3 linked regions of the Sus scrofa genome follow. The protein of the gene in region 3 interacts with the protein of the main gene of each other region in a pairwise test. Links are inferred from orthologs where the notes say so. Each region holds a gene or a part of one and is shown on either strand. Other genes may lie near its edges. The genes, in order: MYL6B, AKAP7 and SPA17.

Region 1 (3,751 bases), on a different chromosome or scaffold from region 3:
TATAGATGAAGGAACTTAGGCACAGTAAGATATATAAACTTGCTGGAGGTAAGTACCTTGAAGACCCTAGATTCAAATTTAAGTAGGCTGGGAGTTCCCGTTGTGTTTAAGTGGAAATGAACCCGACCAGTATCCATGAGGATGTGCATTCGATCCCTGGCCTCACTCAGTGGGTGGGGATCCGGGGTTGCCATGAGCTGCAGTGTAGGTCACAGACAAAGCTCAGACCCCGAGCTGCTGTAGCTGCGGTGTAGGCCGGCAGCTGGAGCTCCGATTCCACCCCTAGCCTGGGAACCTCCATATGATGCAGATGTGGCCTAGAAAAAAAACAAAACAAACAAACAAACAAAAATTAAGTAGCCTGAAAAAGAACTCAAAACAATAGCAAATAAAACATCACATTTAAGCAGGCTAGTCTGAATCCACACTCTTTAGCACCCTCTATGGTTCATGCAGTACCTGCTCTGTGGAGACCTTCAGAAATGGTTGCTAACACCCTCCACCTCCTCATCGGTTATTGTTTTTATTATACAATCCATTTCTACTCTTCCAAAAAGCCTTCCCCAACCAGCCAACATCAATTCTGCACTGCCCATTAAGTTCATTTATGCCTCACTCTTCTGACCTCTTGTGGGCTTTCTACTCCCACCCACTGCCTGCAAGCAAGCCCGTGCAAGCCCCAATCTCCAGCATGGTATGCACCTTCAGGGCATTTACTCTTCCATCTAGTAGTAGATCAGTGGGGCTGGGCTGGTTCCTTACCAGCCCAAAGGAGACCTTTCAAAAGCATCTTGGGGGATGTACAACACAGAGAATATAACCAATATTTATAACTATTAATGGAGTACATACAACCTACCTGAAACAGAATATTCTGTACCAACCATACCTCAATTAAACACAAACAAGGAGTTCCCTCTGTGGCTCAGCAGGTTAAGGACACGACGCTACCTCTGTGAGGAGGCAGGTTCAATCTCTGGGCTCACTCAGTGAGTTAAGGATCCAGTTTTGCCACAGGTGATGTAGGTAGCAGATGCAGCTCGGATCCCTGTTGCCCTGGCTGTGGAACAGGCCTCAGCTGTAGGTCCAATTGGACCCCCCCCCCTCGCCTGGGAACTTCAATGTGCCACAGGTGCGACCATTAAAAAAAAAAAAAATCTAAAAAACAACCAGCCATCCACGGGAAAGAGATGTCCAATGCTGGGCAGAGATGTCTCAGAGTCAAGAGCTGGAGAACGCAGGCCTCCACTCCAAAGAGACCTGTGAAGAACAGAAAGGGTGCCTGATGCATACGCGGCCGCAGAATGGAGAAACTTCAACTCGGACTGCGGCAGGTTAGCCGGCTTAATTCCAAATTTTAACGTTTACTTCAACTACCAGTTCACTTCAAACAAACAACTTTACTGTTCCAAGTCATACAGCCACTCAATGGCCTCTATTTTCTACCGAACTGCAACAGGAAGCTAAACTGACCTAACCACTCGGCCCGGGGCCGTTAAGTGCTTCCTGAGCTACCTGACCTTCTATCTGAGCCTGGGGCAGCTACAACCCTTCCGCTGCTTCCGCGTTCTCACAGCGAACTCAGGAAAACAGCTCCGCCCACACTAAACAGTGAACTCAGGGCCAAACAAGGGAGATATTCTGAAGGGCCGCGCACGTTTTGAGAGTCAGTGAAAAGTACTTTTTCCGGGATAAGAAACGCGCCCCAAACATACTGAGTCACCAACCGCCGCTTCGGGCCGGAAGCCACCGCACTAACACCGCCCCCCTTACGTAGTTAAGCGGAGTTTCCCGTGAGCCTCCGGGCGCGCGCGAGGACTACGATTCCCGGCATGCTCGGTGGCTGGCGAAATTAACCCTTCAGGGACTGCGGCTGCCCTTCGCCCCGCCTCCTCCTCTTACCTGGACCCCTCAGGGTGAGTTTTTGGGGCTTTGGGGAGGGACTCTTTCCTTTATTTAATATTTAGGGTGTGTGTATGTGAGTGTGTGTGTGTGTGGTGTGTGTGTGTGAGAGAGAGAGAGAGAGAGAGAGAGAGTGATGTGCTTATTTTCCTAAAATGAGGCAATTGGCAGTAATGAGATTCAGAGACTTTTTTGGAGTGGGAGACCCAGCATCAACTCTCTGAACCCCAGGACCTAAGTGGGATCACTCTTATCTTCCTCGGAATGCTGTTTAAATCGTCTCTTTCTTTAACCCCAGAACAAAACTAGCCAGTGACGCCCCCCCCCCCACCCCATATGCCCGGACTTCGACTCTACCCCAGCGCTCCCAGCAAGGTTTGTAATCTGGCAACCTAGTCTGGAGGTTTTATTATCCCTCTGGTTGGGAATGAGTACTCATGGAGGCCAAAGGGCCTCCCACGTCCTTTTGGATTAGAGATTTTAGAAATTAAGCCCTTTGCCTCTCAGAGCCTGCCCTTCCCCCCAGGTGCAAGGAGCCCCTGCAGGTTCAGACACCCTACTTGTGTCTGACCTGAATGACCATAGGTTTGTGGACAAGTGTTCCTTCCTTGGGAGTATGGATGGTGGGTGTTAAACTGTCCTTGCCCGCATCCCCGCTCCTTAAACGTTTAACACTGGGTACAGGAACAATCGGAGGGGGAGGTCACACTCTTCTCTTACTATTCTGTCTCTATTTTGTACACAGTTCCAGTTCTGGGCTGGCAGGAAGAGGGTTAGAGAATTACAGTATTCAGGATTATGAAGCTGTGGGATCCACTATCCCTGCTTCTCATCCATGGTCAGAGAGGAGCAGAGAGTCTGCTTGTTTTTTTCACCTTTCACTACTCCCAGACCCCACTTTAACAATCACAGTTCACAAGGCCCCCATCCCTGCTTCAGCCTTCAAGAGTCTAAAGCTGCTAGGAAAAAGGGCTCTTCTGAGTCAGAGGGTTGAGGGCATTGAATGCCTGGATCTCCTTCTTTGCCTCACCCCTATTTTACTGTTTGTCACTGGCAAGCATCCTATCCTCACCCCGGAGGTTAACTCCCCCATTCTGGGCAGTCTCTGGCTTCCTCCCCCTGCCCCCAAAGGGGCCATTGTTCTGGTCAGCATTTGGGGCCAGGTGGACAGAAGGGAGAAGACCTTGGGGCAGGAGTCCTGAACCATAGGAGGCCAGGGGAGTGAGGGCAGGCCAGCATATCTCTCCTCTATCTCACCCTCCCCATCGCCAACTGGCTCCCTGCCCCTGCCCCCGCCCCTTGACATCCCAGACTCCCTGGCTATTTAAACAGAGATGGGTGCCCCCATCGGCACACTGTCCTTTGGCCACCGGACATCATGCCTCCCAAGAAGGATGTTCCCGTTCCCGTGAAGAAACCAGTGGGGCCCCCTAACCCCAAGCCTGCTGCGCCTGCTGCCAAGCCAGCAGCAGGGGCCCCTCCAGCCAAGCCACCACCAGCGTCAGCGTCAGCGCCAGCACCAGCACCAGCACCAGCACCAGCTGTCCCTTCAGCCTCTGCGAAGATCCAGGAGCCCCCCGTCGATCTCTCCAAAGTGGTGGTGAGTCCCTGGAAAGTGAGAAAAGAATTTGGAGGGAGTGGTAAAGGGTGGGATTCAGCCTAGAGGACTAGGGGGTATCTAGAAGGTAGGGAATCAGTAAGCACTGGATGATAGCGGGGGTTTCCCTTCGTCCCCTATTTGGAAGGATTCAGGGTCATGACTCTGCTATTGTCTTTGTTGAGCTCTTCCTCTAATCTATAACACGTTCTGTGTACGTATATACACACACATTCTCACTGACCCTCCTGC
Region 2 (3,651 bases), on a different chromosome or scaffold from region 3:
AATCTGACTAGGAACCATGAGGTTGCGGGTTCAATCCCTGGCCTTGCTTACTCGGTTAAGAATCTGGCGTTGCTGTGAGCTGTGGTGTAGGTTGCAGACGCAGCTCATCCTGCATTGCTGTGGCTGTGGCGTAGACCAGCAGCTGTAGCTCTGATTTGACCCCTAGCCTGGGAACCTGCATGTGCCATAGGCGTGGTCCTCAAAAGCAAAAAAAAAAAAAAAGAAAAAAGAAAGAAAGAAAAGGAGAATGCTATATATTATTTATTGATATGACATATTAACTGAAAAAAGCTGGTTATCAAATAGTATTCATGGTACAACTCATGTCTTGCATGGGAAAAATAAGATACATAACAAAATTATGTAGTAGTAGTTTGAGGTAATTTAATTTTTTTGTTTTTATATCTATTTAAAAATTTTTATAATAATTTTCATGAATAAAAAGGGAAACTATTTTATTTATACTTTGGTAAGCTTTATATAAGTGTAATGTGAAGATAACATCTATGCAAGAAAAAGACTTGAAGGGTTAATATATTTTATGTAAATAACAGGGTCATGAATGACTTTTGTTTCTTTTTTTTCTAGATTCTGGATAATTTCTTAAGTTTTAGCAAATGATAGCTAGTTCCAGGGCAATGTAAAAATATGTATAAATTAAAAGAAAAATGTCACACATGGTCAATCAGCCAAAAGACTTGCCCTGTGGGGTACTGTATCTTCCTTCATTTTATGGATTGTGCTTTGAGATTATGAGACAGGTATAGGACCTTTGTATAATAAGGGGAGAGGAAGATATTCTTTTCCATATTTTGGGAAACTCCAGAGGTACCAAGAACATCCCACTGTAATTTTTCAACAACCAGCCCTTTTTCTGCTGTGAAAACACACTGAGAAGCAGGAGGGGCAGGTTGGGAAAGACCTGGAAGCTCCATTGACCCCTCTACACCACTTCAAATAAGCTTACATAAGGAGTTTAAAAATGGCATCCATTTTATTAGAACATTTTACACACTATAAAATATTAATTAAGATCCATCTAACTTTGAAAATATTCACCCTTTTCTCCGTTGTCATTGGTGATGATTACTCTTGCCTTGATATCTCAAATTTCAACGTGATGTACTTTACTCTTTCTGAAGTTTAAAGCATATGAAGGTTTGAATGCTTCCAAGTTCAAACCCAACACTCCTTAATAGTTTTTTTAATACAACTCATTCTAGGCAGAGAGACTTTAAAGACACATTTACAACATTTTGTGGTATCATTTTCAGATGCTGGTAGGCAGCACCGTATATCAAAATGTAATATCATGTTCTGAAAAAGTGATAGAGATATGAACTGGTTTCCTAGGTAAAATGATTGATTGACGTGATTTTGTTTTGTCATTTCAAGGGAGTGAAAAAAATAGACCCCAAAGTCTATGAAAAATTCATCAGTCACAGATTTGGAGAAGAAGTGGTACATTGCATAGATCTGTGCTCCATGCTGAAGAAAAAACAAAGTAATGGTTATTATCACTGTGAGTCATCAATTGTGATTGGTGAGTGCCATTTACAAATTATTTATTATCTTTAGTTTTGATTTCTTTAACACCCTTTTGTTTTGGCATCTATTTTTTTGTCGTTTTTCTCCATGACATATTCTGTTAAATATTATGTTAAGACAATAATACATTAAAATTTTTGTGGAACATAGGTGGAAAAATCCAGTGAGGAATTAAAAACTTCCTGGGAAATAAAAAAAAAAAAATATTGAGATCCTGCTGTGTAGCACTGGGAACTACGTCTAGTCACTTATGACGGAGCATGATAACATGCGAAAATAGAATGTGTACATGTCTGTGTAACTGAGTCACCATGCTGTACAGCAGAAAAAAAATTGTATTGGGGAAATAACAATAAAAAAAATAAATGTCAAAAAATTAAAAATAAATAATTTTTTGTGGAACATATTAAATATTCATATCTGTTAACCAGTATTTATTTATTAACTTTTTTCTTTTTAAAATTTTATGATTTTAATTTTTTCTATTATAGTTGATTTACAGTGTTCTGTCAATTTCTACTGTACTGACCCTTACTTTTTCTCCCATTATCCTCCATCATGCTCCATCACAAGTGACTAGATATAGTTCCCAGTGCTATACAGCAGGATCTCATTGCTTATCCACTCCAAATGCAATAGTCTTCATCTGCTAATACCTACAGTTTTTGTACTTTTGTGCTTTCAGTATAATCATGTGAAGTCCTGAAATGTTGATTCAAAATTCATTTCAATTTAATTTTACTTCGTGAATATGAAGAAAGGATTTTTTCTCAAAATGAATGTTTACATGGCCACAGCATTCTATACCAGGCATCTTCATGTTTGCTGCTTTTAATGAGGAATAGAGGCGTTCCTGTTGCAGCACAGCAGAAACGAATCTGACTAGGAACCATGAGGTTGCGGGTTTGATCCCTGGCCGTGCTCAGTGAGTTAAGGATCCGGCGTTGCCATGAGCTGTGTTGTAGGTCACAGACGCGGCTGGGATCCCGAGTTGCTGTGGTATAGGCTGGAAGCTACAGCTCCTATTTGACCCCTAGCTTGGGAACTTCCATATGCTGTGGGTGCAGCCCCAAAAAGATAAAAAACAAAAGACAAAGAACAAAAAAGGAATGGAGTGTGCCAGGCCAGAAAGATTCACTCTAAGAAGGGAAAGCATAGGGGGCCTGCACAGGCTGAAAACTTGTCCTTCAATTTCTTCCCTAAGAAAAACATGTTTTGAGGAGAAACAAAGATTCATACATAAATGCTCTATCATCTTGTCAGGGAGATGGCATCTGATGAGACAGATTCATACAGTAATTATGTTTCCAAGGGCAAAGTGTGCTCACCAAATGAAGAACGTTTAAAGCCAGAACAGGGTATTTCTCATCGTTTGCAATGTGAATGAATTTCAAAGGAGCCTGATCTGCTGTGATTCAAATTTACTATTTCAAACCGGGCAATCTTCTTATAAAATTGTGAACTTCAAGACAACCTGATTTTTACACTTTTGAAGTAACATGAAAGTATCCAAAGAAGATAAATACGTCTATCTAAATATTTCAAGGTCTGCAACCAAGGTCACTTCTCTCCACATCAGCTGGAAGAAAACCTATGGAAATATACATCCTGAAAAATCTTAATACTGAAGTTTGTTTTAAAGCGTTTTTAAAATGTTCAAGAAACACAGTTTTATGTCTCAATTCCCAGATCTTCAGAGAAGTCATCATCATTTTACCTTCCAAAGACCTTAACTATCTCAAACAGAAGATAATCTGACATTTGAATTTTATGTTCTGAAACATTTCAAGTGTATTTTAAGGAAGATTTTCTTGTTTTCAGGATCTCTCTGAGAGCGCAGTCTTCCATCAGAGTTTTGATGAGAACCAAACATTTCATTTTAGGTTCATTGTAAAAGGCAAATTTAAATCCTTCTAGTGTAATATAGATTTTTGGCTAGCTTTCCGTATCTTCTCTGTAATTACTTTAAGCCAACCTTGAAGGAGAACTTAGTGCCTCATTGCCTCTCCCACTCCCATTTAAGAAAAAAAGAGCAGAACATAGATTTTATTGAAGGTATTGGGCTGCATTATACAGCTCACAGCATGTATCACCTATATTGCC
Region 3 (3,751 bases):
AAAACTCACCAAGTGGGGACAAAAGTCAGGAAATGATACACAGAGTGCTGCTAGTTTACACTTTTGATAAACCCTGAAGAACCATTTATGGGCTGCAGTTTGTCTGCATCTGGGCACTGTGTGGGTTCTTAGGCAGAGCTGCAGTCATTTTTCTTGACTCTGTTCTCCCACCTCAACTTTTTTTTTTTTTTTTTTTTTTTTTTTTGGTCTTTTTGCCATTTCTTGGGCCGCTCCCGTGGCATATGTAGATTCCAGGTTAGGGGTCCAATCGGAGCTGTAGCCACCGGCCTACGCCAGAGCCACAGCAACGCTGGATCCGAGCCACGTCTGCAACCTACACCACAGCTCACGGCAACGCTGGATCCTTAACCCACTGAGCAAGGGCAGGGATCAAACCCGCAACCTCACGGTTCCTAGTCGGATTCGTTAACCACTGAGCCACGACGGGAACTCCTCAACTTTCCTTTCTTAACAGGGACCTTTGGGGTCCACTATTTGAGTGGTCGGATAAAGAAGGGGGAAAAAAAAAAAAAATCCAGCATTATCCCTTTACTTGCATTTCTGGACAAGGTCCCTCTTCTGGTTTCTCCATGGCTGTGACCCAGCGTCCAGCCCGGGGTATTCAAACGAAACAATATATGACCTGAACAATAGTCAAAGTGAGTCACCCTCCTCCTCAATGCCACGCATATTATCCCACCACCAATATCTGCGAGCTGCAGCAGGAATCAAAGCTGAGTCTTAAATATTCTGAGCTAGTGAGGGGGTTGTATTTCTTAGCCCTAATCACCACTTAAAACTAGTAAAATTTAATTCCCCCAAGGAACCCAGCCTGAAGGAAACCCTCCCCAAGGGTGCCACTGAGGGGGCAGCACTGAAATGTTTGGGATGACTGAGTCATCAGTTTCCAAATATTATCTAACTAGCTTCGCCCCCTCCCCTTCGAGTTCCCCTGCAATTATTCAGAGACACTAAGGGCCTCGGTCTGAGCACATTTGGGCTTTCCCTCGCTTAGATAAACCCAACTCTCCCACTCCCTGCATCATAAAGGCAGTGGAAGGGAGTGGAGAAAGAGGACGGGCCGGGGCAGCCTAGGCCTTGCAAGGAGAACCAGGCTTCGGCCCGGGGTTCCGTCCCAGACCTACAGAAGGGGACTCGGGGGCCGTCCTACGGAGTAACTCAGAGTCCGCATAGGCGGACGGGCGGACAGGGGTCGGCCCGAGCCGAGCCCGGCCGCCTCACCTGCACTTGCGTCGGCCGGCAAGAGTAACGACAGCACCAACCCAAACACAAACCCCAGAGCGACCATGTTTGCGAGGAGGGCGCACCCCTGCGCCGCCGGGGCGGTGCGGACGCCAGCAGAGGTGGAGCCTTGTGGGCGGGGCCTGCGCAGGGCCGATAAGGTCAGACTCCGCCCTTCTCAGGTCATTAATTCCGCGAAGCCGTCCGCGGCCGCCGGGCTGGCCCTTGCTCTCCTCGGCCGCCGTAGTTGAATGGTTTGAGGGGGAACGGTTTCCCGGCAACGAGAAAAAACAACCGGAACTTTCAGCTCCAGCTCAGAGCGATTGAAGAGGTGAGGCGGTTTACCCCATTTCCTCTCCGAAATCGAGACGTCGCTTTCCCCTTCGCCTCTCTTATTCTCTCAGGGTCCCCGCCGCATTCTGGGAAACTTAGGGAAAACTGGCCCCCAAGCAGCCCATTCTGCTAGTGTGAAATCCCAGATCCTCGACGTCGCGCCTCAGACTAGACCTGTGTTCCCCCTGCGACCCCTCTCCTCGCCCCACCTTGGTTGAGGGTCTCTACCTTTTCACCTTAGAATGATTTAATACCCCATCTCCTGTTCCCTCAAAAAGAGAAAGGGAAAAAATCTTTACAGATTGGGCCTCACTAAACCACGTAGTCCCAACCTAGACCCCGACCCTACCTTACTCGGCAGCGTTGACACAAACAAGCCAGGTCTCTGAGTGTTATTTGAACACTGAGTAGCCCAACATGCTGCCTAGCAGCTATTCTTACCTAGCTCTGGTATTCCAAGATAGGAAAAGAAACCTGTTCAAGATGAATCCAGAAAATATAAGACTCCCCAAACATTGAAGACTGGAATTGCAAAATCATGACCTTGCCCCCAGCACCCCCGCCCCGTTGCCCCTTCCAGAGTATACAGATGCTTCGACGAGGCATTGCAGGTCATGCAGCAGAAGTGAAAGCTAAGGGAAAGACTGTGTGAAACTTATTCGACAAGTTAGTTTTAACAAGGACTAGTTTTTTTGTTTTTTAATTTTAGACCCTTAACAGGGCCTTTTCGGCAATTTAAGATGAATTTATAATAATCACTCTAAATCCCCGTGGGATAGCAGAAATTACTCTGTCTTCAAAAGACAGAGTGAGAAAAAATACTTATTATAGTGAAAAATCTGTGATTTTTGTAATTTTAAAAAATGATTTACCTATTAAATTAGACTGTTAACAGTCTAATAAGGGAAAATTTCAAAAATCTTTGGAAGCAATGGATAGACTTGGGTTGGGTTGGGGGTAAAAAGGATTGAAGTCCAGAAGTTTGGGGTCTCAGAAATAATTTGTCATAGTTGTGGTTATATAAGTAAAATAAGACAAATTTAAAAACAGTATCTTTAACGAATCTCTAGGTACAATAGACAGTTCCTTCCAAGGAGATGTCGATTCCATTCTCCAACACCCACTACCGAATTCCACAAGGATTTGGGAATCTACTTGAAGGGCTCACACGCGAGATTCTGAGGGAGCAACCCGACAATATACCAGCTTTTGCAGCAGCATATTTTGAGAATCTTCTAGAGAAAAGAGAGAGTAAGCTTTTTTTAAAATAGGCATTGGAAAAAAAGAGACTAAGCCTTTGATTATGGTAAAACTTGCTTAAGACCATTCCTATTACACAGAAAGCCTTTATGAGGCAGATAGCTTTAACAGTTATTGCTTTTTAAAACAGCATGTGCCTTTTTGGCAGATTCTCTTATGTCACATTCCACCTTATGGAAGGTTACCAGTTTATCACAGACTTTCTTCACTGTATTTCTCATGAACACATGCAGTGGAAGGGGAGGTCGGGAGAACATTCAGCCCAGCTCTCCATTTTCCAGCATGCTGTCCACCTACATCCTGGGCAGTTGACTGTCTGTTCTTCGTAAGAGGAGTTTGTGGTTTTCTTTACATTTTGACTCTTCTTACTCAAAAAGTATTATTAAGTATTGCAAAAAATAATAATTCTGTGCTCCTTAGATTAAATAAGTTGGTATTCACGGGAGTATATGAAACTGCTCCTCAAAAAAGGCGCACAGAAAAACTGCTTTTGAAAAGAAAACTTTTCAAAAAACTTCAGCTTGGGAAGGTGATTTATATTCTTTTTCTGTATTTCCAAGGTCCCATCCTGTCCAGAGACAGTGACTCTATGATTGAAAGCCAAAGCATAGTTTCTTTGCTTCCATAAATAAAATTTCCACATTCCCAGCCTTGAAGGTCTTTGACTATCAAGACCTGACTCACTGGTCAAAATGGAAATTATTACAGCTGTAGGTTTCTATTAAAAGCCCTAACTAGGGGAGTTCCCGTCGTGGGGCAGTGGTTAACGAATCCGACTAGGAACCATGAGGTTGCGGGTTCCATCCCTGCCCTTGCTCAGTGGGTTAACGATCCAGCGTTGCCGTGAGCTGTGGTGTAGGTTGCAGACGCGGCTTGGATCCTGAGTTGCTGTGGCTCTGGCGTAGGCCGGTGGCTA

What was found.
Region 1: the proteins of SPA17 (region 3) and MYL6B interact in binary tests that used the Homo sapiens proteins (3 or more experiments, as listed by UniProt). The two-hybrid records come from large-scale screens. The link is inferred for Sus scrofa from reciprocal best matches to the Homo sapiens genes SPA17 and MYL6B.
Region 2: the proteins of SPA17 (region 3) and AKAP7 interact in a two-hybrid assay, tested with the Homo sapiens proteins (3 studies listed by BioGRID and IntAct). The two-hybrid records come from large-scale screens. The link is inferred for Sus scrofa from reciprocal best matches to the Homo sapiens genes SPA17 and AKAP7.

What each region holds. Positions count from the first base shown.
Region 1 is NC_010447.5:21,552,827-21,556,577, forward strand, and holds the start of MYL6B (myosin light chain 6B), read left to right. Parts: upstream 1-1,524; 5' UTR 1,525-1,916; intron 1,917-2,250; exon of another isoform or gene 2,251-2,277; intron 2,278-3,234; 5' UTR 3,235-3,280; coding exon 3,281-3,502; intron 3,503-3,751. UniProt on the Homo sapiens protein: Regulatory light chain of myosin. Does not bind calcium.
Region 2 is NC_010443.5:32,275,120-32,278,770, reverse strand, and holds part of AKAP7 (A-kinase anchor protein 7), read left to right. Parts: intron 1-1,395; coding exon 1,396-1,543; intron 1,544-3,651. UniProt on the Homo sapiens protein: Probably targets cAMP-dependent protein kinase (PKA) to the cellular membrane or cytoskeletal structures.
Region 3 is NC_010451.4:51,917,488-51,921,238, forward strand, and holds the start of SPA17 (sperm surface protein Sp17), read left to right. Parts: upstream 1-1,428; 5' UTR 1,429-1,573; intron 1,574-2,645; 5' UTR 2,646-2,672; coding exon 2,673-2,826; intron 2,827-3,751. Other genes in the region: SIAE (sialate O-acetylesterase), read right to left, coding at 1,243-1,309. UniProt on the Homo sapiens protein: Sperm surface zona pellucida binding protein. Helps to bind spermatozoa to the zona pellucida with high affinity. Might function in binding zona pellucida and carbohydrates.